Linked DNA regions of Drosophila melanogaster. The protein of the gene in region 1 interacts with the protein of each later gene in a pairwise test. Each region holds a gene or a part of one and is shown in the gene's direction. Other genes may lie near its edges.

Region 1 (7,281 bases):
GTGACTCCACTGCAGCATTGGCGGTTGTGGCGGCAATGGTGGTGTTGGCGGTGGTGACACTGGCCACCGCCTGTGCGCTTGTCGTGGACTTGCGTTCCCGTTCCCTCTCCCTTTTCAGGGCCACGAAGTAGCGCTCGTAGATGAAGAGTTGCTGGCGAAGATGCTGGGCAGAGAGACAGTTGCCGGCTGCGCGTAGAGCTAGCTCCTGCAGCTCCGAGATCATAGAACGCTGGCAATCCAAACGCGCCTGCTGCGAAGGTGGCTGGCTCCAGAGCCAGCCGCTCAGAACCATGTCGGTGGCCTGGCTAAGATGGGCTGCTTGCTGGGCGGCAGCTTGGGTGGTAAGCTTTTTGATGGCCGTGTCCGAGTCCAGAGGCCGACAGCCGTCGCAATTGCAGGCGGAGAGAGGACCGCAGTACTCCGGCTGGCAGCAGGAGCACTTGAGCTGCTGAGCGCCGCAGTAGTGCTTGCCATCGTCGCCCAGGTAGGATAGTTGTCCGCGGGCATTTAGGAGCGGCGCGGTAGGCGACGAGACCAGCTCGCAGTCCTGGATCAGATGGTTCCACAGTACGGCGCCGTCGGCGGCGTTGCGCAGGGAGGCGATGAGATCGGCGCGCAGCCACTTGGCGTCCAGAAAGGGCAGCGGGCGCAGGTAGAGATCGGGCGAATGGCTGGGCGGTGCTGCTGATCCGGAACCTGATCCCGATCCAGATCCTGCTGCGGAGCCTGCTCCTGCCGCTGCTCCACTGGCACCTCCACCCCCTCCTACTCCAACTCCAGCGGAGACTGGTGCTGCAGAAGCGGTCTGGCTGGACCCAGCACCCTGGCCACTGGATCCGGCTCCTCCGCTCGCCTGGCGGTTGAACATGTTTGTGTTTTCGTGTTGCCTTCCCTAGTGCTCCACCGCCGAAGTCAGGCTAGAAACGAGCTCGACCACAACCACAACAACGACAATGGCATGGCACAGTTACCCCTTCAAGGGGGGTGTGGTGGTGGGTTGGAGCGCGGGTGGGGGCGGGGGCGAAGGCGGGTCAATGTCGTCACTGGCACACACACTAAGCACACGCACACGCGCGCAAGCACACACACAACTGCAATCGGGCGTCCAGGATCAGGATAATTCGTTGTTATCCTTGTCCGCACTGCTCATTTCGTTGTTCCGCTCGGAGTTAGTTATGACATCCTGACTTTTCCACCCGCACTTGAACTCTCCGTTTTCCGCGCTTGCTGCTTTCGGGTCACAATTGGAAGTGCCAGTTACCAGTACAATGCAATTTGAAATCAAGGAATTATTTTAAAATGAAATAAAATTGTTTGATGGCAATCGATATCAGGGGGAGGTGCAAACTGACTGAGCTATCAAGTAATCGATATCAGGGGGTCGAGCCATCGATATGTTTTGCCTTTCGATAGCTCTTCAGTGTTCTTAAGTCACAGGCTTGTGTCACGGATTAAAACCCAGTACAGTGGAAGCTGGCTATTAGAAAACGTTAAGCCAAACTCATAATGAGTTCCCTAAAATTCTGTAAATTTGTAATTTTTAAACATTAGCCTAAAATGTACTTGATTCTAAAATCATTTACAATATCATTCGGTTATATTACTCTTTCGTAACGCAAAAAAAGAGAACGCACATAACAAATTATTGAATACTTTTATTGTACTATTACGGTCGTTTTATTGCTAAAAGTATTGCATTTCAATTTACGTGACGGTGTGTACAGAATTAACTTTATAAATTGTTGAAACTCAACAAAGCAATACTATATTCTGTAATTTCCGAATATTTCTATTGGAGCTATCCAATCCGTATATTGAAAAAATCACTTTCGCAAATAGGATGTTTAGGAGTATACATATAAAGTACAGATTCTACAGATAATAAGAAAATAATATTTAAAATAAGTATAATTCTCGGACATGTAACGGTGCGTTCAGGCCAGGGTGACCAGTTCGTCGTGGCGACTATCGGTATTCTGGGCGAGCAAGTCAGCGGGCACACTGCGCTGCTGTGTCAAAACGAAACTGGAAAAAATCTGATTGAGTTTTCAGCGGACTTGGATCAATCCTTCCAATCCCCAAGAAATCGGGAGCAGACGGCCAGGATGACGTCGCGCAACCTGACGGAGGTGTTCGTCATCATGCGCAACAATGCGTCCAAGAACCGGAATCACTACGACGATCGGGTGAGTGCGTCTCCGTCTGGGGTCTTCACTGTTATCATCAACTAACATATGTTTTGCGTTTCTCCGTCTTCCAGAGGGGCAGCGATGCGGAGCGCCTTCTAAAGCACTCGGTGCGCGAGGCGGAGGAGGGACTGGAGCTGCAGGACGACTACGGCACGCCGCCCGCCTGGCTGGACAAGTTCGAGGAGGCGCAGTACACCATGTCTAAGTGGGTAAACAAACAGTAGTCCATGCGCAGGGTTCAACTTCACTCCCATCACTCGTTTGCAGGATCAAGCCTAAGCTGGATGAACTGGGCTCCCTGCACGCACGCCACCTCCTGCGACCCGCCTTCGATGATCAGCGGGACGACGAGTGCGACATCGAGGTGCTCAGCCAAATCGTCTCCAAGCTGATCACCTCCACGCACCGGCACATCCAGTGCGTGCGCAGCAGCATCGGCGTGGGCAGCAAGATGGAGCAGTGCCTGACGGTCAACGCGGTACACTGCGCCCTGCTCCAGCTGCAGGAGCTGACGGTGAAGTTCCGTGCCAGCCAGAATGCCTACCTGCTTCAGCTGAACTCCCGCGAGGAGCGCTCGCAGAAGTACTTCGACGACGGCGGCGGCGCTGGCGCTGGAGACGTCTTCACAAACGTGGAGCTGGGCGAGCAGAGCGCCGAGAACTTCGTCGACTCCTTCGACAACTTTCTGCAGCCGCCGGCGGAGGGCAAGTCCGGCAACGGCTATCTGTTCGAGGACGACGAGCAGGCCATCGACGATCACTTCCAAAGGCCGCCGGCCAGCCGGATGACCCAACAGCAGCTGCTGCTCTTCGAGGAGGAGAACACGCGGGTGGCGCAGCACCGCGAGCAGGAGGTGACCAAGATAGTCAAGTCCATCTACGACCTGAACGACATCTTCAAGGACCTGGGCCACATGGTCCAGGAGCAGGGCACTGTGCTCGACCGCATCGACTACAACGTGGAGCAGACGCAGACGCGCGTCTCGGAGGGATTGCGCCAGCTGCACAAGGCGGAAATGTATCAGCGCAAGAACCGCAAGATGTGCGTCATTCTCGTCCTGGCGGCGGTCACATTCTTCATGCTGCTGCTGCTCATCCTGACCAAGCTCTAGTTGCCCACGCGCCTCCAGTGGGCCGACCTCATTCCCGTCATTCGCTGTGTGTGTTTGTGTATATTGTAAATGTTTGAATACATGTTATTATATTTATTATTTATTGCTAATGCTAAAAAAAAAACCGCAACTACTCCCTCTCAAGTCGAACTCCACTCCAGTCCAGTCCACTCCAGTCCGCTCTCCCAATCACATGCGCTCCGAGAGGCGCGAGGCGACTGCCCGCAGGTTGCCATACACCTTGCTGGGCGGCGAGCCGAGGATTAGGTTGCAGACGGCCCGGCGCGCAAGCTGAATGTTCTGGTAGCTGCCCAGGATGTGGATCTTGCTATCGGCTAGCACGATGCGGGTCTTGGTCACGTTCTCGATGGTGAATTTGGTGCGGCCGCCCTTGCCGGCGAGGCGGCCGATGGCGCGAGACTGGTGGTCGCCGCGCAGCGTCTTCACGTCCTTGATTTCGAACGACTCGACGAACAGGTCCTCCAGACGCAGCAGGGCCAGGGCGTCGTCCACCTCGAAGCCGCAGAGAAAGGCGCGCACGAAGTCGGCGCCGCGCTGCAGGTTGGCTATGTCCGGCGTCTCGGGGCCCACACGCAGCTCCACCTGGCGCGCCTTCATGTTGAAGCGGATCTGCAGCTTCATGTGCTCCACCACGGGCGTAAAGATCTTCATCCAGTGCTCCTTGAGCGAGGAGTACCTGTGTGGCGGCACGGATACCTTGCGCAGCTCGCTTCTGGCCCGCTTTGCCTTGGGCGGCGCCGATGCTCGCGAAGATCCCAGCACCTGGCCCTCAATGCCGGTCGCCTCGTCCACCTGCATCTCCACGTCCTGCTGCCCGCCTCCGCTGGCTCCGCGCTTCGTCGCTCTCTTCGCCGGCTCGAATGCGTCTGCTCTGATGTTCTCTGCCTCCATGGTGCAATCTGTTGTGCTTTTACTGCGTTGTTTCCAATAATTTCTCAATCCAGCTGCTTTGTCTGCTCCACGTGCTCAGTGTGACCGCGCTCGAATCTGAGATTTCAAATACATCTGTAGCTGAATACCACACCACTGAATTTCGACGAAAATACCAATGCGTATGTACAATTCTACACTGGCTAAAAAGTATGTAGAATGTAGAATTCCGAAATATAATACGCCTGAATTCTTGATAAGAAACATCATTGGATTTGAAGGCTGATTGAAGTGCGAATTCATATTTGATCACTCATTGAATTATTGCTGTTTCAAAAGTAATAATTCAAGTACAGCCTAAAGCTATAAGGTGACGTCACTGTCATATAGAACAACACAATGTAAATTCTCAAAAGATGGCAAAGGGTACCGAAAGGAATAATGGTTTCTGTTAGGCCCATATATATGTATATATATACTGTTATATATATACTGTTAATATATAATAACAGTATATATGTACATATATACTTAATCTTAATTTTGGAATCATATTCAGATAACTGTTAATCAGCTACAGACGAGTGGGATAAATATAATTTAAATATATCATAATAATTTTATAATATATATAATATAATTAAATATAAATCATTTTTGCATAATTATTAAATGCAACCCTTTCATTTTCAATCAATCAAAAGGTAGCCTATTTTTGACATTTGGTTTGCTTTGGTCCCTATTGAATTCAGTTCACATCTAGAACCCGTACCGGAGAAACCATTTCCATGTCACAACGGAACTTCAAGATGCCAAATCCGAACAACGAATCCCATTCCTATTTCCTCCGGAATATTCCGGAAGAATTGCAGCCTCAGTTTACGCGTGGATTCAATCAGTGGATGGGCAATCAGTCTACGATGACTAAGGGTTTGCCATCCAATACAGTGAATAAGTCTGCCCAGACGGCATCTGTCAATGATGGCAACTTGCAAGCTAGCGTGATCGCAATGCTGGCAGGAATGGACTCGATCTTGGACATGGAGCAGCCTAACAGAAGTCCTTCGCGCGAAGAGCACGAGCGCCTAAATGAGCTGTTGTTCAGCAGCAATTTGCTGTGAGTTGAAGTAATTCGTGGTGAGAGTCCTGACATAAAGTTCATAGTTTCATTAGCATGCTGGACGTAAAGAAGCGAACGTTTCCCGTGGAGGACCCAACTGGGTATTTAACTTCGGTTTCAGAGCAAAATCCAGATGGGAATCCGTTGGCTAAGCGACTAAAGCTAGAGCGTCCTCAGGGCTGGTAAACAAGTCTCACGAGGAATTACCTTCATTCTACACATATTCAATCATACATATCTTTTCAGACACTAATGACCAATGTCTCTTCCTCAGAGTCTCTCAACCATACAGGACATTAACGAACCATTAAATAAATCACTATAAAAATAAATCACAAAATAGTTCAGAAGAGCCGTTTTATTTTACCAGTTAAGGTCGGTAATTGAAAGAGTTTCGCAAAAGAGGCACGCAAAAAGGTATACATACATAGCTCATACACCTTTAGCTTAGTAATGGGTATCCGATAGTCGATGGTCGACGTGGAGTATGTGCATATGTATATGTGACTTTTTAATATATAAATATACATATATGTATGTGTTGTGTGAATATAAATTCGTTTATAATTGGGGAACGGCATTAGAATGCGAAAAGGTAATATTATTAAGTGAATTTAATGTCAAAAAGGAAACCATGAGTGTCCTGCGTGGCATAGCAGCTAGCTTTTAGGCCTGTGCTCGCCAATCGTTATCGAAAGATGGCAATCGAGTAAGCGGGTAAATTGAAGTTTAGCCGCAGGCGGGTATTAGGTTTTCAGATTAATGGTGGTCAGCGTAGGCGGCGCTCCTCTCGCAGCCATTAAAAGTTTCTGGGGATGCAATGGGACTTACTTTTGCATCAACCGCAGCGATAAGAAGGCCATTGCAATGCCTCCTATTGGCCTGCACTTGAAGCAAAGTTAAGTAAGCCAAAGTGGAGTTAAGTAAAGTTAAGAGCGAGTAATGCGGCCACCGCAGGCAGGCGATAATCTCAAGCTTGCAATTGCACTGGCAATTTGTTTGTTATCTTCTCCGTTTCCGGTTCCCCACGCCCTTTCTCGTATTTCTTCTCTTCCACCTCCTGACCCTTTTCCGGCCTCTTGGGAAACTTTTCCATGAGCATGAGCTATTTGAATAAGTACACTGGACAAAACTTGCTTAAGAACTACGGAGTATTGAAGATGCAATTTATATATATATAAAACATACATACTTAGCATCTGCTATCTATTCGGATATTGCAGACTCCATTGAGATCCAGTTTCTATTATCTAAATATTTTTTTTTTTTTTGTTTTGGGGTTATTCAACACACTGATGTGGTTTGAATATTTCAAAACTTGGTACGTTGAAGTGTTTATTTTCTTTGTAAAAATCTTGATTTTGATACAAACTTACAAATGGTTATAGTAAGAAGTGGATTAACCAGAAACTTTTCGAGTCAGTTAACGATGCACGTTTTAAAAAATAATTGTGTATAGCATCAGAATTTACCTACTCCTTTCATTTCGATCGGTGTCCAAATTGTTGATACACTTATCTGGGCATTTAGGCATTTGAAACTGGGACTGCATATATCCGCCAACCAGCTGAGCTCAGTTCCTTCTTTTTTTAACAGTGCAAGGAATTCGTGGGCGATATGAGTGCAAATTGCGTTGGCTTTCATTTGGCATGCACTCATTTGGGTTATCTGCTCGCCCACTTAATAAGCTTAATGACTCTCGAAGCCGTTGGCTGCACATGATTTTGCCAGCAAAATCGCCTAAAAGCGCTCGCCGCTCGAGTTGCGCCACGCCCACTTCAGCCGCACCGCCCACCTCGGAGATCCTTGGTAGCCTTGGTAGCTCCGAAAACGACGACGAGCGCGAGATGAAAACGCGAATACACGCGCAAGGGCCTCAAAGGTTTTGAACGAATTGCACCAAAGTTATAATTAGTTGAGCTTAGATTCGGGCCAGGACCTCAAAGGCGAGCATGTATCCTGCGTCAGCC
Region 2 (7,615 bases), about 14 Mb from region 1:
AATGATATATGTCACTGATATAGAGTGCATAGAGTGTCGCAAATTCCCAATGACATTTTCTGACAGTGTAGCATCTGTCATCTCTCTCCTTCTGCCACTGTCCATCTCTGTTTGACATTTATCATTTATAATTGTTTTGACTATGGCAAAGGGACTTCCGAGTCCGAGAATCTGTGACCGAAAACAGGCGGGAGGCGGTGGGTGGCTTGGGTGGTGGGTGGTTTAAAGGGATTCATGTAACGGTTTTCTTTGTGCATGCATATATTTTGACATTTTGACATGCATTAAATCAGTCAAGCGTAAGCCACTTTGAGCTCCTTCTTTGACTCTGCGGTGCACGCTCAGCTGCTCTAGTCCCGTCCCTTTCCTTTGAACTCGTTCCCTCTTGCTCTACCGCATAAGAGTCCTCTCAATCGCACACACACACACACACACACACACTCTATCCGTTCATCCATCTATCCATCTCCATCTTCATCTGGGTCTTTTCGGGGCGCCAAGTTTTGGTGGCAAGGCAAAAACCGCTGCCATGTATTTAAATGCGCACTTAAATTTTGAATGCAACTTGAGAGTTTTGAGTGCCACTGAATGACACGAATGCACACATATATAGCTATATATCCTATATACTATTAACGATGTCGAACTGCCGGAGGGTCATTTACTCAAGTAATGGCAACCGGCGGCAAGGATTACGCTCCACTTTATTCGACTTTGATCTTATGGAGCTCGATCTGGTTTAATTTGCCCCCCCCATCTTATCCACCTTGCAGTTTTGAGTTCGGTTTGCGGTGAATGCAAAAGGAAATTTGTGCCCACAGCGAAATATTTTGATTGTGTCATTAAGCAATAGTACATCTACATAACTTTGTGATGATTTATGCGTTTAAATGCGTTACCATGGCGTTTGGTCGCACTGCTGTCACGCATCTCTTGCTTTAAATTAGCAGACCTTGGCTTGGAATCGGTATCGGAAATCTTTGAATATATCATAAATAAAAGACTTAAATTTATGATTGGTTTGGTTGTGCCATTTCAAGGCCAGTCTAGCTGGATAGATAAAAATCCCAATCCGTGTAATTTACGTTCTGAGAATTGATCTCCTTGGCCAATTTCCTTGCTTTATCTGGCCTTTGCCTCCAAAGATTTACCATCTATATCTGCAGATCTTGTGCTCCTGGACACTCCCCATCCATCGCGACCAGAAATTTATGGCTCCTCCCGACAGACGCAGAGATTTGGCGCTGGGAGCAACAAACAGTTTACGGAAATTTATGTGGCCAGAAATTTGCACATGTTAATTGCTACAAAGCAGAGGGATGGCCGTCTGAATGGGTGGAATGGTTGAACTACAATTGCCACTGCTACTGCTACTACCACTAGCACGACTAGCACCAACGGTAGCCAAGGCCGATAGCCGCCGTTGACGCCGAAAATGCTGCGAGTCCAGAATTTATGGATAAATTATCGAATTTATTTATTTTCGCCACGTTGGTGTACGTTTCTCGGTTGTGTTTACTTTCAGATTTCTTTTAAATTTAGCTGCAACAATTTTTCATAATTTTGCCGCTGGCATAAATCAGCGATGGCGAAGACGGACGGACGTGGCAGAGTGGGGCACAACCATGTTTCTAGTCATTTGTTTTGGGCAACAGTTTTGCAGTCACCGCACGCAGGCGAAAGCGACACAGTTTTCCATCTGCCTGCCGCTATCCCTCCCCTTCCCCCCTTTCCTTTCAGCCCCTAGCTTTTATTATTTTTTCCTGCCAACAAAAGCAGGCAGGGACCCAGAAGAAAATGTGGCCACGGGGCGGGGCGGGGTGCGGCGTGTGCGGGTGATTTTAGGGGGTGGCGCTTGGGGTCCACTTGGAAAAAAAGAAATACAAAATGAAAACGGGTAATCTTAATGCTTTAAGTGCAGGAGTTGAAATATTAATACTTTTAGCTGATGCTTTCAATTTATAAAGATTAGACCAATCCTCTTTTATCTCTAACCAACTATGTCATACTAATGAAAAATGCAAAGCTAAAGCTTACTACTTGGCAGGCAATGGTCACACTGCTCGTTAAATACGGAAATGCAGCCACTAGATGCATTCACTCTCCAGCTTTTCTTTCAGTGTGCAGTCTGAGCGTTAGCGAGAATGAGCGACGATGTCTGGCACAATTACGCCAGCAACAACAACAAGTGCAACAACGTGCAGCATCCTCAGCAGTACAAAAACAACAATAAGGCATAACGAATAACGAATAACGCAAACCCCCGACGGTCGTCGTTCCCGTTGTCGGTTATTACCGTTACTCTTTGGCGTCTTTAATTAAGGCGTGGGCAGCGGGCGAGGCAAAATTTTTAATTTGTTTGTAATTAATACGCCGAGGTTTTGGTCGCCTAGGCGATGAATGCATTGCAATGCACATTGGTCACACTGGCCGACAATAAAACAGTCGCACCGTACGAAATTTGACACTCGAATGAATTAACTGCCGACACTTAAATGGCACAAAATTAACTATGCAATCATTTTCTTTTAATTAACCGTATTCGTTTTAAACGATTGCAGTGTGCATAGTTTTTAATTTTATACCACTTTCAATTTAATTTTTTTATAATGAACTCTCCACTCACCTGATGACTGCTTACGAATTGCCAACTGTTGCCAATGCTTATCCCCACTTTTAATAGTCGGGATCCGCAGCAAGGATAATCACAACAATCGTACGACCAGTTCAGTTAGTGCCACAATCCACGATTAACGGTATGCGATCTAAGCCGTTACAAATATCTAACGGCATTATGTAGCACACGGTATATTTTTGAGTGGAAACCGCTAACAATGTTGTTGTTGCCGCTTCTGCTGCAGCTGCTGCTGCCTATTTTGGCCATGGGGCAAAAACTGGCGGCGACGCCGCGTGCACGTGGTTTTGGCCTCTGTTTGGGCCATGGCTAAAACTGGGTCCTTCACGCAAGCGGGCGGATTGAACTGGCGCTGGCTTACGCACGGACTTTTTTTTTAACTTCGGCACTCAAAAGCACTTGCAAAAAACAAAAACAAACAGCGTAGTTAATAACACAGTCGGCGCAGCGAACTACGCCAATAGGCTGGATATTATGATAACTGTTAAACGTTTCGCGGATTCGTCTCTTCAAGTTATTTATTGTTTTATGGCGCCCTTTCATGCGCGGATCAACCGTAGAGCTTCAAATTTGGTAAACAACTAAGCCGTGCTGGCGTGCAGTGTGACCAGCTCTTGTTCGGGCAACGGTATTTCCGTGCCAGTGTCACCCCAGCTAGCATACCGCAGCCTATCGGTGCTTGTCACGGCTAAGCGGACCGGTGTGCTGCCGGCATGGTATGTTCGAAACGCGGCCGCATGGCCGCACTAAAAACGCGATTTACTTCAACTCGCGTTTCATTTTTACCCCATTGTTGTTGGTATCGTTGTTGTTGTTGTTGTGCACATATCAATTAATGGTGCGCGAGGCGAAATAATAATCAGTCAGTGGACAAGCCCGCCCAACGCCAGAGCCCCAGCCCCAGCCCGCCAAACGCCGCAAAGGTACGACCGGCAGCGGAGCGGCAACCATGAACTTCCCACTGGCGAGCGTCAACAAGGATACGTTGCGGGCTGCCTGCAAGAAATGCGGCTACGCCGGTCACCTGACCTACCAATGCCGCAATTTTCTCAAGGTAAGCGCACCAATCGCATAGACCGCATGTTTATGTTGCTTTTATCCGCCGCTAACCGCTATCCTGAACAGGTGGACCCCAACAAGGAGATCCTGCTGGATGTGGAGAGCACCAGCTCAGACTCGGAGCTGGACTACCTTACGCCGCTCACCGAACTGAGAGCCCAGGAGCTGAAGAGTGGCGCTGAGGTGCCGCCGCCAACGGAGCCAGCGGTGCTTCCCGCGGCAGGCAAACGGGACAGGAGCAAGGACAAGAGCCGCGACAGGCTCAAGGCGAAGAAGCGGGAAAGGGAGCGGGAGAGAGAGAAGGTGAAGGAGAAAGAGAAGGAGAAGGGTAGCCGGAGCAAGGACAAGAAGCGTAGCCACTCAAAGAGCAGCCACAAGCTGGCCGAGAAGAGCAAGGACAAGAAGTCGGTGCGGCACAAGAAGCATGGCAAGAAGAGGAGCCGGAAGCACAAAAAGACCACAAACACCAACAATAGCAGCAGCAACAGCAGCAGCGAGCTGGCCAAAACCAAAACAGGCAAGCGACCGAGCAGCGGCAGCACCAACAAGAAGTCAAAACGACGACGATCATCCTCCACCTCTAGCTCGGATTCGTCGTCGTCGTCGTCGTCCTCCTCCTCCTCCTCGTCATCAACCAGCAGCTCATCGTCGTCATCGAGCGATGATTCGAGTGATGACTCCTCCACATCGAGCGATTCGTCTGAATCGGATTCCAGCGACAACGAGGAGTCCAGCACCAGTGAATCGGATGAGTACGGACGCAAGAAGAAGCGGCAGGGCAAGTACAAGCGCAAGTCCACGGACACGGCCATGCTGCGACGCAAGAAGACCAAGGCGAAGCGGAAGCGACATCGTGCCGGCGGATCCGGTGCTCCGACCGCCGGCAGCAGCTACCTGAGCAGCCTCAGCGACAGCAGCACCTACTGAGAAAGAAAAGAAACAAACAAGGATTAACTGGATCAGCAAGAGAATCTAGATGTGGATCTGTATCTGGATCTGGATCAGCATCAGGATGGATAGACAGCTGCCTCCCAAAGCACTCGCTCCGCAAACTAGCTCGCTTTCCATTTTAGCCGTAAAAACGTAAAGGAGCAGGACCGCCAGCCCATCCTTTCCGCTCCTCACTTCCACAGAGAGACTGCCAGTTCCACTTCCAGTTCCAGGCCCCAAAACAACTTCTCCATGAACTCTTCCCACGGATTATGAGACGCGCAAACCGTAGACTTGTCCCTATACCTTAAATTTCAGCCCGATGTGTGCTGCAAATACAACAAATTAGTTTGTACAAGAGGAAGTCGGAGTTTTTCATAATTGAGAGAGAGCAAAGCATGGGTTGCTATTAATTATAATCTTCCGCAACATATTTTATATCTCACATTTAGTAATAATAGTTGTAATAGATTAGAAAATCGCTTTGTAAATGAGCCCAATAACATGGCAATCTAATGACTTAAAGATAGCTAATAGTGTCTGGCTTGTATTTGTGGATATGTTACGCGACCTAACAAATGATTTAATACACTTTTCGATAGTAATACCGAACATATATAATACGCCTACGTTAGGTGCTATAACCGACCCGAACTGGAGCTGGAGTCGCCTGATTTCTGAAAGATTCGCAGCGCTTCCTGCAGTGCGGAAATGTGTAGCTGCATTTTGGCTATTTGCCGGGAAGACGACTCGCAATTGCGGCAATGGGCAGGCGAAGCAGCTGTGCTTGAATCGGAAATATGCTGGCTGGCTAACAACAGCTGGGCATTCTGCGACTTGAGCTCGCCATTCTGGACTAGTAGCTCCTCGCAAAGGGCGCACGCCGAGCAGCGTAGATCCTCCAGCGCCTGTTCGCGTGCCTTGAGGTTGCGCATTAGCGCTCGATTCTCCCGCTTCAAGTTGAGCAGCTTCTGCTCCAGCTCCAGCATCTCGTCCTCGCTGTCGCGTTCCAGCAGCGGATCACTGGGCTTCTTGGGCGCAACACTCGACTGGCCGCCCATGCGATTCATGGCCTGCAGAATGGCGTCCATCTTGTGCTCCATTAACGCACCCGAGGCACGCTGTTCGTCTAGATATTTGTCCAGTGTCGTCACAGCCAACGGAGTATCGCTGCTCGTTGAAGCGTTGGCCACCGCCAGGGAACTGGCACTGAGTTTCCTGTGAGCATTTGACGAACCTATGGGTCGCGGCACTGGCGTTACTATCACATCCTCATTGGAAGGTGTCTCTGTTTCCCGTTCGCGTTCCTCATCGTCCGCCTTCTCCAGCGTTGGCAGCGTTACGCGGGAACGTGGTTGCGGCTGTGGCGGATTAGGCGTCGTCTTTGTGACCGTTGCTTTAGTTCGGATCTTAGATAAATCCTCACGCGAAGGCGATGCCGAGCTGGAGGATGAGATCTCGCTGAGATAGTGCTCCACTGGCAGTTTGTTTTTGACCATAAACGTTATGAATTCCTTCTCATCCGGTTCCTTGTCGAATCGCAGGCTCCAGAAGCGCTGCTCGTCATCGTAGAACTGCAGATAGGATTCGCGCAGTATCACCTTGCCGCCACGCGGTGTCAACTGCAGCGTGGTCAGCACCTGACTCTTGCTGCGGTAGACAATCAGCTTGCTGGCCTCCATCTCGCCCAGAATCGAGAGGGCCAGGCCGACGCGTCCAACGTTCTCGCTGCTCCGATAGGCATGCACCACCTTGGCAATGGCCGTGTTCCAGGCGGCAGGCGGTGAATCACCCGTCTCCTGGGTGCTACTCCTGGTCATGGCCGGTCTTTTGCCAGCCTGCAATTTTTTGGAGCTGCCTGGCTGATAGCGCAAGCTGGATGATTCGTTCGCCAGCGGACGATCGTCGTCCTCAAAGATCTGGCGCAAGTTGCGAGGACCCGATTCACTGGAGTTCATATATATTTAATATGTATATACCACTGTGCCAAGTGTCCCAATCCCGTCCAGAAACAGACTCACCTTCGCAACTTGTCGAAGAAGTCCTGATAGGACTGATCGTTGCCGATTTCCATGCCTAATTATGCAGTCGCATCGAAAATGTTTAAAAACATTAACTATTGTTCAGTTTGTTTTGACCGAAACAGAAAGTGTGACCAAGCGCCAAAACGAAGAAAACTTGTTTCCACCGGTGAATTGCTTTCAGGAAAATTATAAAATATTATAACTAAATATTAAGCAAAAAGGCCATAAAATAAACATATTTATACATATATATGTTTAATATAGTCAACTGTAATAGAATATATATTCTATATTCAATTCGTTTCAATATAATTAATTCAATATATTAAAACCAAACTGAACTTACTTCTACATTCGAAACAATGTTTTTAAAAAGATGCTTGTGCCTTAAATATGGAAAAATCAATCAATATTTAAACGAACATTTAAATTTTATAGTCACGACCTGCTAATTTGACTGCTTATCACTTTCCTAAATCTATGTTTTTGTTTTTATTTTGATTCTAATTTCACCACCAGCGAAATGGTAATAAATATTTTCGGCCACTCAATACGACATTTGTATTATTGGCGGTTGACCTCCTGGTCACGATGTGTTTTCCACTCCAAATCGCTAATGGAAAAACTGACGATACGGGCACTGCTATCAACCCAAATGTTAGTTGTCAGTGGGCTGAGATTTCGAGAGAATTAAGATCTAGATGCTAGATCTTGATCTCTGCACTCTGCAGATGCTTCCAGCTTCGAAAAAGAAGTTGCTACATTACGTATACGTACCCACAGTCAAGGTTCGTCTTGCTGAATTCGCTGGATTTCTTATTTCACAATAGACATTGGTCCGCCAACCTTCCCAAGGCCATTCAAAGAATCAGCAGCAGCACACTGCAAACAAAAAATGGTACTTCTTTCAGATTAACAATGAAATTAATTGAGTAGTAAGTCATATTATTTCGTAAAGATCTTGTCT
Region 3 (9,975 bases), on another chromosome or scaffold:
ATCACCGGACTTCCGATGTTCGGTGAATCATGCAGACGAACCAGTTTACTATATATTTAGATGATTCAGCTAATTCTTTTTTTTTCTTGATTTCATTTTTTGGAGAGGCGTAGTTATGGCGCGACAAGTTTTTAGTTTTTCCTTTTTAAGTTTTCATTCACAAAACACAGAGGCCGCAAATGTGGGAGTTATTTACGAGGGTCAATTTGGACAGCCTGCACCGCAGTGGGGTTAAGTGGGACGCGTTCCAATTTTGGCCACTTGAAATGAGGGGGGGAAACGCACTTTGGAAATTGGGAACATGGGCTGGAACTTGTGCATACGTTTGTATGTAAATGCAACTTCCATTTGCCGTTTACCGTTGCAGCTCAGTGGTAAATTGATTAGGCTGCTAATCGATTCAATTCTATTTCTTTTTGGACATCAGAACCATAAACCCGTTTTACTGTTCCACAGACTAGCGAGCAGCGACCAGCGGCCACCGCCTGTCTCGCGCTTGAAAAACAAGTCCGATATATTCACCTGTAGCTACGCGTCACTTCTAAGCTGGCTAACTCTTTTGCTTCAGCTTCTTTTGCCACTTATTATCCGCTTCTCTTTTCGACTCGACTCGATTCGACTCAACTTTACCACTTTGGCTGCTGTTTACAGCCAACATGCACGCACACACACTCACACTCAATGATTTATTTTCTTGTATTACTTGTTTCTTATGTTGCTTTATACATGTTGTTGGTTTTGTTGTTTCTGCTGCTGTTGCTGCATGCGCATAAATTAAGGGGGCGAGAGCGAGAGGGTAGAGCAACACACGTCTGTACACAATGAAAACCTGTTTGTTGCTTTTTATGCTTCCAGTGCGTCTCTTTTGGGTGTGTTGTTGTTGCCTGGAGGTGAGAGACGCTATGCGGGGGTTGTCTTTGGGGATAGAAAACACTATTTCGGGCACTCGAAGTTTGCACAAAATCCTTTTCGATCGAATCCTTTGCCAGCAGGCTGCATTCGATCAGCTTTTCAACTCACCAAAATTCATAAAAACATTTAAATAAACGATCAAATTAAGCGAAAAACACGGAACACGAAAAAAGTGTATACAACTTCACTGATCGACGGCCATTTTAAAAGTGACCGCAGTGGGCCTCCTAAAATATACCACACAAATATACCGAACGGAATGCTAGTATTGAAGACTACCAGCAGCTATGCAATACGGTGATTTTTAGTAACACTAAGGTATGGCAGCGCCGTAAGTTCCTCTGCAAAGAAAAATAAAAACTAATGAATAAAATGAAGCAGAAATAAAGTGCAATAATCTTCCGACAACGAGAGGTTACAAGTGCAATACACAATGGCTGCAAAGTAAGTGAAATTGATAAGGTTTTATAAACAGTGAAAAACTTTACATCGTCTATGTGCCTGCGTCTGCGAGTACGTGTGTGTGTGTGGGCGGCGCGCTGTGTATGTGGGGGTATTTTTGTGTTTGTTTTGAGCTGCAGCCTCCGCCCTCGCAGCCACCCACCACCCCCTCGCCCATTAAATTTGCATTCACATACACAGGAAGTGTGATGGAAAGGGGGAAGAAGAAGACCGAGATAAGTATCGATTCCGATCGGTGAAATTGATAAAATGTCAAAGTTCAAAAGATTGGCAAACCGGTAAAATGAAATTTGATTGGTCTTAAGTGTTTTTCTATAAAAATTTTTTATAGATATTATTATAATGGAAAAAACCTTTTAGTATAAACATTTAATAAATACAGAAAGTGCATATATAATGCAAAAGTTTGTCTCTATGTCAAATTTTTAATTATTGAAAAGTTTTTATTATTCAACTATAAAAACTGTGTAATCATACATATATTGTTAAAAATAAATTAATTGACAATTTTACAATTAAAATTTTTTTATTTTTGGGTAAACAATTCTATATTTTCTTATTATTTCTTATTTTCAGTTAAGTATTTTTCCATTTCAAATTATTTTTAGCAAATTCTTAGAAATCATTTTTTACAAGTCCCAATTGGACCGTGTCTTAAAGGTCAAAATCCTATTAGTCATATACCGGGGTAGACTTTTTAGAACTGTAAGAATCTCACGTAGAAAGAATTAAAATTTGACTTGGGAACTCCCCAAGAAAATTTCATAGGCCAGGTGTTTAATGTAGTCACAAGTTTATCATGACAGAATGATTTTGCATTGGGCATGACGTGTGGAGATTGATTTGAACCAAGTTAATTGTCACAGCGAAGGCTACCGAATGCTTTTGCTAGATGAGTCGATTTTATTGTGTCCCTTTTTCAATTGCCTTATAAGATGGGAATTTTGCAATTATTTGAATTAGTAGGTGTACTGAAGTGTTTCTCGCGAAGCAGATGTGTGATTTTTTTGTATCTTCATCGTAAAAATCAAAACTCGTTTGCTTGCTACTTAAATCAACCAGCCTTCGTTTTGGGCTCAAAACTGACCAAGCGTTCAGATATTCAGATAGTTTTTGTTCAACCACAGACAGGTCATCATGTCTCGCGATTTTTTCGCGGTGAGTAGTCTTTTCGCATATGCAAATCAAAGTTTAAACATACCATTTTCAAATCATAATAATATTTAGCTGTTGGCAATTTTCATCTTCACTGCGGTCAACGCGGCACCGCAAATTTCACCAACTATCGTTCCGCAAATCCGCACAAATGGCTTTCAACTTGAGCCCCTCAATCAAGAATACTTTCTCAGGTAGCTAATCAAAGTCCAGAAGAGAGCTTCCCTTTACTTAGTTAGTTCTGAATCTGTAGAATCGAACATCCGGGTGGCACTATTCGCCAGGAATCCGTGAGCCAGAATGAAGCCGGACATCTGCAGGTTAAAGGTGTGATTAACCAGCCCTTCGAGGATCAGGATGCCAATCTTATTGTCACCTATGAGGCTGGTCCGAATGGATATGTTGCCAAATACAGCTTCGGCAAGGGTCCTCCAACACCGCCTCCTGACACACCATTATTCCTCAGTCCCGGTGCTCTGAAAACTGCAGCGGGATAGGATTTTGACTGAATATTTAGAAAACATTAAAACCACAACTTGCCGTAATTTATATTAAACCAATTCTGTATTTATAAGTAACAATAAGTAAGTTTATAATCACTCACTAGTTTATAGAAATCAATAAACTAGCTAGACTTTCTTAACTATAACAAATTGTTATACTTATTATTGTTAATTGGCTAAGCCCTATTAAAGCAACTTATTAGGTGACTCGGTCAATGATTCACTGTGGCAAGTTTTATTGTTATGTTATGTAAATCCCTGTTGACAGTATTCAAAAATCACATCTTATAGCTATACTATAAGCGGAGAACGATTTTTGAATGTGTTTATTAATGATTCCAGTTTTGAACTTGGTTTAAGTTTAGCTGTTTATTTGTTAGCTGTTTGCTGTCAGCTATCTAAAAACATCAGTCGCTAACCAAAAGCCAAAAGATCATCATGGCTAACCTATTGTTAAGCTCAGTGAGTTTTTCTCATAAGTTTGCCTGCCAATCGTTGTATAATATTTGCTACAGGTGTTTTTGATTCTGTTTCTAAGTCTGGTGAATTCGGCGCCCACAACTTCAGTTACCAAATTCGTGCCGCCCATAAACGATAATGGAGTTGTGCTAGTGCCATCTGAGAATAATTATTCCCTGAGGTAAACAAAAAATGAAGTTAAGATAATGCTGTAAGCTCAACCAAATGGCTTCCATATTGTAGGATTGATCTCGACGGTTCAACGCGGGATGAGATTGTTGAACAGATTGCGCCAGATGTGCTTCAAGTTAAGGGTACTTATAGCCAGCGTTTTCCTGGTTCGAAATACCTGCTGGTCACCTACAAAGCTGGTCCCGATGGATATGTGGCCAAGTATAGCATATCTAGCCAATCGGATACTGTGAACCAGATTCAACAGTTGCCACCCAATGTGTTGAAAACAGCTGCTGGATAGAGTTGTTATGATAGTTTAAATAAACATTGTATTACGCGCAATAAAACAGACAAGGTCTCTGTTGTTAAACATATATAAAATCTTATTAATGATATTTGAAAATCATTTGCCTCCGAGAGCTTTTTATAAAATATAGCATTGGTAATCGAATTTGTTACACTCTAAAACTGGAATCGATACCTTCGTCATTGAAGTGGTCACCACATGGATGAATACATTATACGAGAGCATAGTTGCTCGTATACCCACCCGCTCAACCGCAATGATGGAAACACTCGGAAGCTTTCACCTCACTTCTCACCTGCTGGTTCACTTGGGCGTGAGCGGAATTCTGATCACGCTCTCGTATCACAGTTGGTCGTATCAGGCAGCTGGGCCACATCGAAATCAGACAGTTGGCATTGTACGGCGCTATTGGCTTGTTGACTTATCAGAATCGTCGGTCGTTAAATGTGATAAGGAGCCACGATGCAGCGCTAGACTTGGAAGCACCGAAATCCACTAGATTTCAGGAGCAATGTTTCGGGATTGGCGCAAAACCAAGCACAAGCGATGGCAGAAGGTGCAGCAGAAGCAGCAGACCTCAATCCTCACCGAAAGGTTGCTCATTTCATACTCAAACTGTGTTTCCAGTGCACAAATATCTACAATGAATTGCATTAAACAACGTCAAACAAATTGAGATTGCATAAATCCAATTTGTATTTGTGTAAAGTTTTTTTTGCATACCGGTTTTGCTACAGCACTTGTTGTATCAATTCTTGAACAAGTTTTAAGATTCAGCTCACATTTTACAAGGGAAAATAGTTGAACGTAATTTCTCCAAAGCTTTTCCTTAACATTAGAAACTAAGCTAAAATATATTTCCCCGTCTCAAAGTCTCAATAACAATAACCCTTGAACTTTATTAAATTTACAGGGAGACGATGATTGTGTTTGTCTACGACACAGAGTGTCTCACAGACGAGGCGGATGATCCCATATCGGCGGTGCTCTACTTCCATCCAAGCTGGGTGTCCGACTCCCAGAAGGTGGCTCTGTGTGGTCAGCTTATGGGCACGTCGTATTTCCTCAAGGATTGCTTCTTTAATCCCCGCATCCTGGCGCTGCAGAATGGAAAATTTGTGCTGAAGGAATTCGGTCGTTTTATTCTGGTAAATCGAATCACATAATTTCACTTTTCTTTTATTAATCCGATGGAGTATTCTGTTTTCCAGGCAATTGGCACTGATCGAAATATTGGAGATCAACTGTTGGAACATCGTGCTGATCTGCTGAGTTCCCTGCTCAAGTTTTTCCACCGTGACGTCCAGACATTGTATGCCCAGTATGCTGCACCGCCCGCCCTGAACCGCCGGAATCTCAGCGAGAAACTGTACCACATCTTTGAAACATATCTGCCGATGCTGCAGCGCAACGGAAATACATTTCAAAATGTGCCGAGGCTGCGAATGCCAAAGGTGAGTGGTTAAAGTAACAAACCGAATTACCTAGATAACCAAGATTCTCTTCCAGACGGCCAGTCATATATTCCTGGAGGCTATACAAACGTTGCAAAGTTGCCAGCAGACAAAGGGAATACTTGGCGGAGCGATTCTGTACCACAACAAGTCAGTTAATCCGGCTAAAGTCTGAACAAATTGTAAATTCAAATACCTTGTCTTTTAGGGTGGTTGCCTCGCAACTGAGCGATATGGTGACCAAGCATCTTGTACTCACCGATCCTCTGCACATCCGCACTGCGGCCGAGCAAGTGACCAACCATCCTGAGTTCCACATACCCAACGGCGTTCAGATGCTGGTGGTTTATTTGGAGCATATGCAGTACCGCCAGTTAGCTGGCGAGGCACAGCGCGCCCAGAACCTGCAGATGAACACAGCTCAGCTCACCCAAAATGGTATGCCGTTTCAGTATGCCAAGCGTAAGATAAAGCGGGACAAGTCGCTCATTTTTACCCATATACCCGAGGAGGAGCACGCCCCGGAGCAGCAGGGAGCAGTTGAACAGCTACCACCAGCCAGGCCCAAATCTATGCGACCCACCCACCTGCCGTTGCGTATAAAAAGCATGCAGAGCAAAGAGCTACCGGAGTCTGGCATTGCATCAATAAATTTCGACGAAACCGATTCCTATCCGCAGTTCATTGGACGAACCAGCGTTTGCAATACTCCAATGACCGAGAACAAGGTACTGCCGGTGGCCAATGTTATGTCCATTTGCGCAAATCCCGAAGATGAGGGCAAAGAGGAGGATATTCACAATTCCAATGGCAAGACACATTCGCGTCGAAATTCTCTAAAAGTGGATGTGGAGAAATTCTTTCAAAACTTCATTAGCAATCCAAACAAACAGCTCACACGACGCAAATCATCTGCAGACCTGCAGGATGCACTTCGCGCCATCTCCAAGAAACTGAATAATTTTACGCATGGCCTCAAAACCGATGTGAATCGAAATGGAAGCGGTAATGGTGATGTCTCTTCGGATTCGCCAGATTTCATAGAGGACGATGATAAGATTACTTCGCGGACCATCAGCGATCCCACCTATCCGGTATTCAACACTAACGGCCAGCAGATCTCGCGCAGTTTGTTTCAGCAATTTCTGGATCAGTATCGTAAATTGTGGGGTGTTGCTAGTGAGCAGGCGCACGAGGATGCCGAGCTAGCCGCTCTGGTAGCCGAGTTCCAGGAGTTCAACGCCGAGATCCAAAAGCTCGACGAGCACATGAGACAGCAAGCAGCGGAAGCATCGTCTGCCGATAGGAATCTCAACGTTTCCGCAGCCAAAACTCCGCTGGACAAGCGATCCATGACGCTGCCATTGAAATCAGCAGGAGAATCTACTTTCGGAGAGCGTGCGTCCGGACGCAGTGGAGCTGGTGGAGTACCACTAACACCCCTGATGGCCAAACTATCTGTTCTGGCTCTAAGCGAAACAACGCCCATCGAGATACAAACTCCGCTGACAACCAGTAAGGTTTTCCCACGGCGAAGTTCACTGAAGTGCGAGGATGCAGTGGATGCATTGGCTGCCTTGACCACAGCCCCTGCTCAACCTCCGGGTCCAATTCAACCAGATGGCTTGCAAAGAACTGAACTCTATATATGCGGACAGCAGAATATGACCTTATTATTGCTCATGGAGGAGGGTACTTGTCAACAACAGCAGGTTGTGCAGAAGATGGTAAGTGAATTTATATTTTTTTCGTCTATAAACATTGTTAATATATCTTCCAATTAGTTCGACATTTGTGTGGCCAAGTTCCCGCACATGGAATCTCAACTGAATCAAACCTTAAATGTAAATGTGGAGGGCGACAATCGCGACGGGAGCAACTATAGCTTCATGTGCGTGGACTCCAAGTGGGATGTTCTGCAGCGGAATGGCCCTTGGAATCCCCTAGAGCTTAATATCCTCGAGAGCATGCACTCGATACATTCCAGTGGTCATCATCTTACAGATTTGATCTTGAGGTATGTTCAACAATCATAAACCTTCTTTCTTTGGTTTTATTAATATTTATATTTATAGATCCAACGACTCCGTTTATTATGGCCATAAGAATGGAAGGACCGAGTTCTTCTACAAGGAACCTACCCATCAGATCAATGGCATACCACCGCCCTCGGATCCGATTGGCAATATACAATCCCGCGCCAAGTCGCGACTGGAACGTGATCATTCCTACATGCTGTTCTAGGCTGTGCAATGGATCGTATATTATAAACATATTTAAATACTCGCATGCTTAGCCAAAAACAGATAATGTAATCGGGGACACCAGATAGTCTGGGTCCCCGAAGAATAGCCAACTTAATGCCATCCACTGTTATTTCATTTGCGATCTCTGGCTGATTCCTTCGTGAGTCTTTTCTTTTGTATAGTGGTTAGATAATGATTCCATATCATATACAATGCAAACCAAGGGAACTCAATTTTAAACGATCTAAATTTTACTTCGACTTTTATACAACAAATTTATAAGAAACATTGCCGACCTTTTTTACCGCCATTCAATGGACTCACGAAGGAAACCAAAAGAATTTTAGATATGCCGCTTACAGCCAGCGAAATATTAAGCCTTGTTTGAATTTTCACTTGATTGATGTAAAGTACAAAAATGTTTTAAGCTTTGTTTACAATGTCCAGCACTGTTGTTTAATTTATAAGCTTGTATCCTATACAATTATTTTAATCATTTTGCATTTGCTTTGACCGAAAAGATGCGACATTTTGCACTGATTTCGAGAGCCAAAGAATTTAAATCAAGGTTTTTAATTGTAAATATACATTATACAAAATTAGATTCATTTAAATGGAATAATGTGTAACTAACCTAAAATTCACACAGATTCCGTTCTGTCCAGTTGCAAACATAAACCTATCTTAGCTGTTTCTCATTATCAAAGATTAAGCGCTTTGTGCCAATTTAAATGCAGGATAAATGCTTAAAATAAACCGTCAAATATGTAGGAACGTGAGAACGAATGTTTTTAACCATACAAAACAATTTGAACAGTGCAATAGTGTGGAAAACAACTATTTTGAGAGTTTTGCGTTGACCTAGCTTAAATATACATACATAAATACCTAAACAACATTATTTATATATATATATATAAATATTCATATATGATACAAAGACCGGTATTGTTTTTGTAGATTTTCAAGAATAAACCGAAAGCCATCGTCGGTGGTTGAGAAATACTTTCGAGTTGAACTTCCTTTAACATTAGATCTAGAGACTAGGGCATTTTCATCACAATCCAAGGAACTCGACCGTAATACTTGTAGTAGTAGTAATCGTAGGCAAGCTTGCCCAGGATAAGAAATATGAGGCTGGCCAGCACCCCGTTTAGCCAATCGATGGGATGGATCTGAGTGCCGCCCTCCACGCTTAAATTGCACATCTCCTGGCGACTGAGGGTCAGCACCTTGGCCAGCAGCTGGTCGTCATCCAGGCGGTAGGTGCAGCTCACATTCCAGGCATCACGCACGATGTCCTTGTACTTCGTCAACAGCTCACGCATTCTGCTGCCAAACTTGCAGGTGCAGTGCCAGGGATTTCGACTTAGCAATAGCAGATTGGCATTCTCGTTGTCATCCAGAGCGTTGTCCAGGGCGTAGACATGAAGCTTGCGCAGATTGTTGCCACGCAGATTGAGCAAGCGGAAGTTCTGCAGCCAGTAAGTGTCCTCCAAGTTGTCCACATTGGATATCTGATTGTTCTCCAGCTGCATATCCACAACGTGGCGGTAGTGGGGATTGTCCCGCAGCGGATTTATGTCACTGATCTGATGACAAATCAAGTAAGTTACTTTTCATTGAGCTTTAATATGCTCATATTAAATATGCTCTTACCATATTATCGTTTATAACTAAAGTGGTGGTGTTGTCCGGCAAAAAGTCAGGCAAGCGATGGAACTGCAAATGGGAACAGTTGACCGTATAGAGCGGTATGTGAGTCTTGGGTAAGATGTGATGCATTAGGCAAGTGCAGTTCCTTAGATCCTCATGCGATTGGCATTGTCTCTTCAGCTCCTGCAAATAAAATCAATCAGGTAATCACAGTGATGCAGGATTGATAAGCAGCTACCCACCAGTTTGTAGTGCATGACCATGAGCATCTGGCGTTCCTTATACTTTCGATCTGTGCATATTAGTTCGTCGCGATCCACCACCAGGCGTCCCTTTTCCGGCTGCAGCAGCAACCACTTGAAGTTGCGCGTACAGTTCCACGGATTGCCCGCCAGATAGAGTTGCTCGAAATTGCGGGGCAGCAACAGTGGTCCATCCAGTTGAATGAGCTGGTTCCATCGCAGATCTAAGACCTTGAGCGGATGCACACGTTTGAAGGTTCGCGATGAGATGTACGAGAGATTCGTCCACGAAATGTTGATAGTATGTAGCTCCAACATTTCGGGAAAGTCGAATTTGAATTCGGTGAAGCCACTGTACTCGATGGTCAGTGATCGAAGGCGAGGCAATTTCTGAAGATCCCTGAA
Region 4 (7,062 bases), on another chromosome or scaffold:
GGCTCCTGCCCGCCGCCGCGGACGTGGCCACCGTGGTCAGGTTCTTGCCGTATCCCTCGAAGGACACCACGCACTGGTAGGCATCGGGATCGTCGTCGGTGTCGTAGGCCGCCACCACGGCGCTGCCATCGAAGTATCCCTCCTCGTTCTCGTACACCATGGGCTCCCGCTTCACCACGTCCATGTCGTTGGATCTGTAATAGGAGCGGAGTTGAGTTGGGACGTTGTTTACTACAAGGCTGTCTTACGACAAGGCAGGCGCTCGTCCTTACATTATCGTGATGGTGGGCCTGGGATACACGTTCGTCACGGTGCAGTTCAGCTGCGTCTCATTGTGGATCGTCTTGTGGGACAGCTCCAGGGTGTAGTTCCTCAGGTCTATGACCTGAACCCTCTGGTGGCTGGAGAAGGTGTTCAGCGAGGTCTGCACCACGCACTTGTAGTCGCCGGTGGTGGCGATCGTGGGGTTGATCAAAGCCAGCGAGCTGTACTGCTTGCTCGGCTCCGTGGAGCTCTCATAGGTGCTGTCAATCTCGTTCCTGAACTCGGGCTATCAAGGAGGGGAAAGCGGTTAGTATCTTAAGCGCACCACACCGTTTGGTTCACTCACGATGGCATATGGAGGTGTTCCGAAGATCCACTGGTATATGGACTTGTCGTCTCTGTACCATTTGACGGTGATGAACTTCGGGCTCTCCTCCACCTCGTAGTCGCAGTCCAGGATCGTGGGCTCCATCTCCTCGTTCTGAAGGACTATAATCTTGTCCTCGGACTCATCCCTCGTGGGATAGCATAGCGCATCTGGGGGAGAGCGAATATTACTGATTAGAACGCAGAATTCAGAAACGAAACGAAAAGCTTTTAGCACGACGAGGTCTCGAAATTACAGAACACGCGCGGTATTATTTGGAATATATGTACATATGCAGCACAGGCAAATCCAAAACACATTGTACACAAAAATCTATATAATTTGGCGAAAGCGTATATTTACGAGAAGCGAAAACGCGATGAGCGGATGCCTGTTTCGTTTTAAAAATAGACACTAATAACAAACAAAAGCTAGAAAATTGAACATTTTTCATTCGGCAGTTTGTCATCATGTGTGCCAAAATTCTGAAAACTCTGTTCAATTTTATTAGGTTCCTTTCGCTGGAATCTTTTGCTTTCCACTTAGCATCTATTGCTCCGACTTCAAAACCACTGGCGCTTTTTCCACATTGAAAAACATATAGTTTCGAACACGAATAATTGCACGTAAAATCCTTCAGCCCGTTCAAATCCACAAATTAAAGGATAATCGAATCTGCACATATTGTTTATATATTGTTTATATATTGTTTATATTCCGTTTTAGCACATGTTAACTCAGAACCGAATGTGGATATACGTTCGTATTTATAGATATCCGATTTGTCATTATTTTTCTCAAGGTTTGCGCATTCGAAATTCGTTTATATGCGCCTTCCGAATGATTTCATTTCTTAATTTAAAAATCGCGTTTCCCATATCGGTTGCTGGCTGGATCGCCACAGGATCTGGCTGTACCTCTGTGGAGCAGTCCGATGGCCAGAATGGCGATCAGCAGGGTATCCATAACGGTCACTATCCTATCTACACTTCCACTTCCACTCGTATGCCAGACTTCTCAACCGATCCTAACTCAGCGGTCCGCTCGGCATGGTACAACTAAGGCAACTAAATGCTCTTGGCCGCCAGAGAACCGAAAACTGAAAACCGAGAAATGAGGAACGAGAGCTCTTGGCCAAGACCACGCAGCGTAACCAAACGAATTCGAATTTAGCCGAGATAATGCCGGCACTTCCTCTCCGGCACACGATCCTCCTACCCTAACCCTCCTCCTCCTCGCATAGCCCGTGCCACTTGACTTGTGCGCGACTCTCGGAGCACAAGCACGATCTTTGCATGGACATGTGGGGAGATCGCTCCGCAGCTGGCCAGGCACCACCACCAACCAAGTCGCCCTGCATGTGTGGGGGTTGGACACAACCTTTCCGCTTCGATACTCTCCGCTGCTCCTAGCTGCCGTTGACTATTTGAAAACCAGTTGGCCGCCCAGCTGAGGCGCACTCCTACAACTAGGGATAGTCGAGGGTAACATGCAAGACCGTTAAAGGACAGGGGGTGTCGAGCGTAGTCCTTAAGGACCTTTTCTTCTTCTCGACCGAAGTTAAGGGCTGTTGTAACGATTGGCGTTAATAATATGCTGTCTCCATGGCAATAGGGATCATTAACATTCCTGTAATTCTGTTGAAATTCCGATAGAAGGCATTTTTAAGTCGAATTTCTCGAATTTGTTTACAATTGAATAAATCTTAGGGTATTAGCCGTTCAGTTACTCATAGGTTTAAGTATATCCATATGCTTGAGTTTTTGTAAAGACTTAGTTAGTCGTTCCAACTCGGTGATTAGCAAAAGAAAAAGCCTTCACTATACCAAGTTAGTGTGTAAGTGCAACACACACCTATGCATGATAAACCCTTTTTCTTTACTTTATGTTTTCCAAACTAACGTTAGTTGTTTTCAGAATGACTCAATAGAACCTGATACTTGTTCGATGCATGTAGTTCCAGGCTCATTTGCACCCACAACTAGGTTGAAACCTACTTAAACTAGCTTCCCATTTAGATGCTCTATAACTAAATAATATGTTGCTGTTTTTACAGGATTTTCGGGGTGGGTTTGAGATCGGGTTAAGCAAACAATGCAGGTGGGTTTCGTTCAGGTCGATCACCTCCAACATCTGGTTACTATACTATTTATTAAATGTAAAATGAGTTCATATCTTTGCGTTTGATACAATTACAATTGGAAAGGTTATAATTTTACACATATATTGGATATATTTTAACCTAAAATGTAACACAGTAACTTATTCCAAAACTTTCGGAATGTCGTAATGTTGTATTATTATGATTGCCATAACAATTCTCCGATTTACATAGACTTGCGATTTAAGTAATGATTACTACAAAGTAGAGTTTCTTTTTGCACGAGTGTTAGTTTGAGCATGATGTGCATCTATTAGGTGGCTTTGTTTTCCTAGAGACTTAGTCGTTCCAATTCGTTGATTAAGAAAAGAAAAGGCTCACTCTACCATGCAAATGTGTAAAATCCACAAAGGCAACTAAGACCATTTTTCAACTGGAAAAAGAGGCACATTCTAAACTTTTACCTCGTATGTTTGACTAAACTGATCCCAATGAAATTGTTTCCGAAGATAGATACATTGAATTTGGAACTGTTTTTCTTTGAAAATTTAACTAAATGGCTTCAGCACATGGAACAACCAGCCTATCCTATTAGCAATCCAGCATTAGGGTGTCCAAAAAAAAAAGGACTTCAGCGCAGAGTAAATAAAAATTAGGCAGGACTCTGATTAGCAGGAATTAACTAATCGAAATAATCCGCAGAGCAAATAATTGTTTCCGAAAACAGGGGTTGTATCCTGCCAGTGACTTTAAACAATGTTTCAATCAGCCCAATGTTATAAACAAGAAAAGATAGTAAGGTGTCTCTTATCCATTGTGTGCGGTACAACACCATTTGTTTTATCAAGTTGGCGAAGTGCTGTACTCGTGATGACGGACTGTCCGATACCCTTTCCATTTCATATATGAAGTTTAAATATATTTTATAATTTATGTTACTTTGGCTGTTCCTTAAGAGTTATTGCAACGTAAAGAGGATTTTCATTTTTCTTACTTTTTATATTATCCCAGAGAAGCATTTCCTTTAATCGCTCAGACAGGACATCCCAGCGTCATGGTTGCCCGATAAGCCAATTTAATCTTCTGAGTGTTGCTTTTTGAGGCCTGTGAAAATTGGTGCACTCAAAGAAAAGTTCGCTTAAAGATGGAGCTTGGAAAATATTCAGATTTTGAAGAAATATTCATTGAAAAGAAGATTTCTGAGTGAAGATTAGATCAGAGCCAACAGACAGCGATGCAATCAATGAAATTAAAACCAAAACCAATTCTTTAGACATGCTGTGACAAGTCAATTGGGGAAATGCGGTGAATTTTCGCGCAGTGCACGACACGCGCCGGAAAGTCAGATTTCCACCCCTATGTCGAGTGGAGCTCGTTAGGACCGCCTCCAAACGCGGAAACGAATGAAATTTTCCGTCCCGCTCTCCCGAGACAAGTGCAGCATCCTTGTTCGTCCAACGTGGATGTCCTGTAGTTGATACAATCGTAATCGAAGCTTATTTATTCAAGGGCAGTTAAAAGTGTGTGCGGCCGCGGAGCTACTATAACTATGTGTTTTATGGCCGAATGACTCATTAGCGGGCTGTAAAATTTCAATCGAGTGCCGTGTGTGAATTTACCTGCAGATGCGATGGAATTTTCACTGCTCAACAAGGCGAACTTCGACAAGGATTGTTTGTACACCGCGAACTCGGAGTTCTACAACAGCGGCGCCAATGGAGGAGGACTCTCCGTGGCCAATCACATAAATCACTACAACCTCATGATTGACTCCAGTTACAAGCTCTGCGCCAACGAGTCCGCAATCCGGGGTTCCCTCAACCAGGAGTCGAGCTTATTGTTCTCCAAAATCACCACTGTCTCCGAGTTTTACCCGGCCACCCATAACATTGGCTCCTACAACACGGGTAAGTACAGTGGCCATCAGTTCCACCTGCAGCCAGTGCACCTGGATGGATCGATTATGGATTGTAATCTTGAACCAACTCTCACCTCGCCATAGACTTCCATTTGAAGTCCTATGGAGACGACGGCTTGAGCCTGACCGACAAATCAAAACAGAGGCGCATTCGCACCACTTTCACGTCCAACCAGCTGAACGAGCTGGAGAAGATCTTCCTGGAAACCCACTACCCAGATATCTACACCAGGGAAGAGATCGCATCCAAGCTGCACTTGACGGAAGCTCGAGTTCAGGTGAGGAAAACTAATGAGATTGAATTGCTGGTTAAGTGAGTGGGTAGTTTAGGATACACATATTTCAATAATTAACATATAACAAATAATACTTACATAATATAATATAACTATTGAAAAGAACTCGATCTGCTGTTGATAGGTTCAAATATTATAGGTTTCTCGAAGCCAGCTTACAATCGAAACGAATTTAGTCATATCCTGTTGAAGGATACAAAACGACTTAGTAATCGAAATTAAAAAAAAAAAAAACCATTGTGTGTTTTAGGTCTGGTTCCAGAACAGAAGAGCCAAGTTTCGCAAGCAGGAGAGGCATGCCATTTACATAATGAAGGACAAGTCGAGCAAATTGGATGGCCGGAAGAATCCTGTAGCAGGATCGAAATACCTGGGCCCATCTCTCAAGGGACCCCAGAATGGCCATGGCCGTCAAATGAAATGCTTATACGATCAAATATAGAATCCACTAATATCTATGTAAATATTAGTATACATTTTGATGAATGCAGTTATTTTGATATTATTTTTACTGACTATTTGGAGCGAATTGCGTTAAATAAATAAGATCTGTGTAACACTTTGCTTGTTTTCATATCATCCGGGACAACTGGCTTAGCACCCTTTTGAGGGCTCAGCCGGCTAAGCCTGTGGGAAGAAAAACAAGGACTTGAATGGGGGTTGAAGGGTCACCATCTACAAGTACCAAACCTCACGCCCTTCAGGGGTAAATTGTCATCCCATTATCGGGTGGAAAAAGTGGATTGGATCGGCATTAGGGCGTGTAATCAGTTGATGGTGGCGATTCGGTGCGCTCAATATAGCAATTGTTGTGGAGTGCCCACCGCAGGGATTGGCGGTGAATACCTTTCAGATCTAATTAACAAGATCAAGATTGAATTGCAGTTTATTGAAATCATATGTGCCCAGATGTATAACTTAATATTGCAATTTATAAGTAGTGCCCGCCTTTCAACACCCTCGAATGATTTTAATAAACTGTGAAATCGTTGTTCATTTTACATTTTTCTACACTTCATTAGTGAAACGTATATACAGATATTAAATATATACATAAATATACAAATATCATTTAGCCTTTTAACTATATATAAAACGTACTCTTCCGTTTTTTAAATAGTTTTGTTGCAATTTGATTTGATTATTTTATGTGTTTTTTCATTTAGAATAAAAGAATTCAAATTAATTATTTTATTCAAATATTCCAAGGACATTTTCAATTCCATCGTTCCCGGAAAAAGCAACATATTATAAGTCGAAATACCCTCAATGCTTTCGAATACGAAAATACCGCTATCTGCGGTATTAACTGGCGAACGCGCTAGGGATTTTGTTGCTCTTTTGGCCAGCTGCATGTTATTTGTTAATCGGCTGGTTATAACACTTTATGAATTAAAAAAGACAATTGACAATGCTGCGATCGAGGATTTCCTGCGCACTGCCACCCAGGAGACTGGTGTCCTACTTCTCGGCGGAATTCAACAAGGTGGCGCACGAGGGACCGGCTAAATTCGCCGCAGGCAGCAGTCATGCCGTAACGAGTGTGGATTTGGATGTGTTCGTCAATCCGGATAACCGTCCCATGGACCTGGTGGACCGGCTGCTCAAGCTCAGGTGGGTGCGGCCATATTGGAAGTAGTGTCCCTACTCATAAGATAACTCTTGCAGGAAACAGAAGGAGGCCAGTTTGGTGCCGCTGATTCCCAGTGTCTTGGTCAAGCAATTGCTGGACTCCACCAATCCGCAGGAGACGATATCGGTGCTCCGTAATCCCATCCAGTACGGGCTCTTTGTGGACCAGTTCTCTGGCTGCTTCCTGTTGGACTTCCTGCTGCACAATGGCCACGCGGTGGAATCTGCCCAGCTGGCCACTATTCTCGTGGACAGAAACTTATGCAACAACGAGTTGCTGGAGTCCCTGGCCCTACAGTCCTTCTGGTCCTTCGCCAAGGAGTTCAAGCCCTTCGAGTCCTCTCAAGTTCAACCTCCTGCCAAAAATGTTGAAGTGGTAAGATGATTTTCGATAGTGGCTGAATTATCAGCTAAGCGGCTGGAAACTTTATTCACTCATAAATAGCTATTTAAGATTTTGTTCATTTTGGCATTTTACCAAGTT

The links.
Region 2: the proteins of Syx16 (region 1) and CG3918 interact in a two-hybrid assay, tested with the Drosophila melanogaster proteins (one large-scale study listed by BioGRID).
Region 3: the proteins of Syx16 (region 1) and HPS4 interact in a two-hybrid assay, tested with the Drosophila melanogaster proteins (one large-scale study listed by BioGRID).
Region 4: the proteins of Syx16 (region 1) and PHDP interact in a two-hybrid assay, tested with the Drosophila melanogaster proteins (one large-scale study listed by BioGRID).

Annotation. Positions count from the first base shown.
Region 1 is NC_004354.4:20,388,467-20,395,747, reverse strand, and holds Syx16 (syntaxin 16), read left to right. Parts: upstream 1-1,996; 5' UTR 1,997-2,105; coding exon 2,106-2,186; intron 2,187-2,260; coding exon 2,261-2,394; intron 2,395-2,456; coding exon 2,457-3,300; 3' UTR 3,301-3,414; downstream 3,415-7,281. Other genes in the region: HERC2 (HECT and RLD domain containing protein 2), read right to left, coding at 1-868; l(1)G0004 (lethal (1) G0004), read right to left, coding at 3,490-4,212; jb (jean-baptiste), read left to right, coding at 4,980-5,308, 5,365-5,493, 5,558-5,558.
Region 2 is NC_004354.4:6,521,106-6,528,720, forward strand, and holds CG3918 (uncharacterized protein), read left to right. Parts: upstream 1-3,358; 5' UTR 3,359-3,584; coding exon 3,585-3,689; intron 3,690-3,760; coding exon 3,761-4,621; 3' UTR 4,622-5,237; downstream 5,238-7,615. Other genes in the region: CG3342 (uncharacterized protein), read right to left, coding at 5,263-6,571, 6,646-6,698.
Region 3 is NT_033778.4:17,682,373-17,692,347, forward strand, and holds HPS4 (Hermansky-Pudlak syndrome 4), read left to right. Parts: upstream 1-4,318; 5' UTR 4,319-4,483; coding exon 4,484-4,566; intron 4,567-4,885; coding exon 4,886-5,120; intron 5,121-5,183; coding exon 5,184-5,426; intron 5,427-5,481; coding exon 5,482-5,576; intron 5,577-5,634; coding exon 5,635-7,153; intron 7,154-7,210; coding exon 7,211-7,443; intron 7,444-7,501; coding exon 7,502-7,670; 3' UTR 7,671-8,450; downstream 8,451-9,975. Other genes in the region: CG42561 (uncharacterized protein), read left to right, coding at 2,512-2,532, 2,602-2,723, 2,783-3,026; CG42562 (uncharacterized protein), read left to right, coding at 3,471-3,494, 3,548-3,672, 3,735-3,966; swi2, read right to left, coding at 8,716-9,264, 9,332-9,511, 9,571-9,975.
Region 4 is NT_033778.4:23,881,613-23,888,674, reverse strand, and holds PHDP (putative homeodomain protein), read left to right. Parts: upstream 1-4,234; 5' UTR 4,235-4,362; coding exon 4,363-4,639; intron 4,640-4,734; coding exon 4,735-4,928; intron 4,929-5,196; coding exon 5,197-5,388; 3' UTR 5,389-5,539; downstream 5,540-7,062. Other genes in the region: CG5597 (uncharacterized protein), read right to left, coding at 1-194, 273-550, 611-801, 1,549-1,597; CG4882 (uncharacterized protein), read left to right, coding at 6,358-6,560, 6,615-6,954.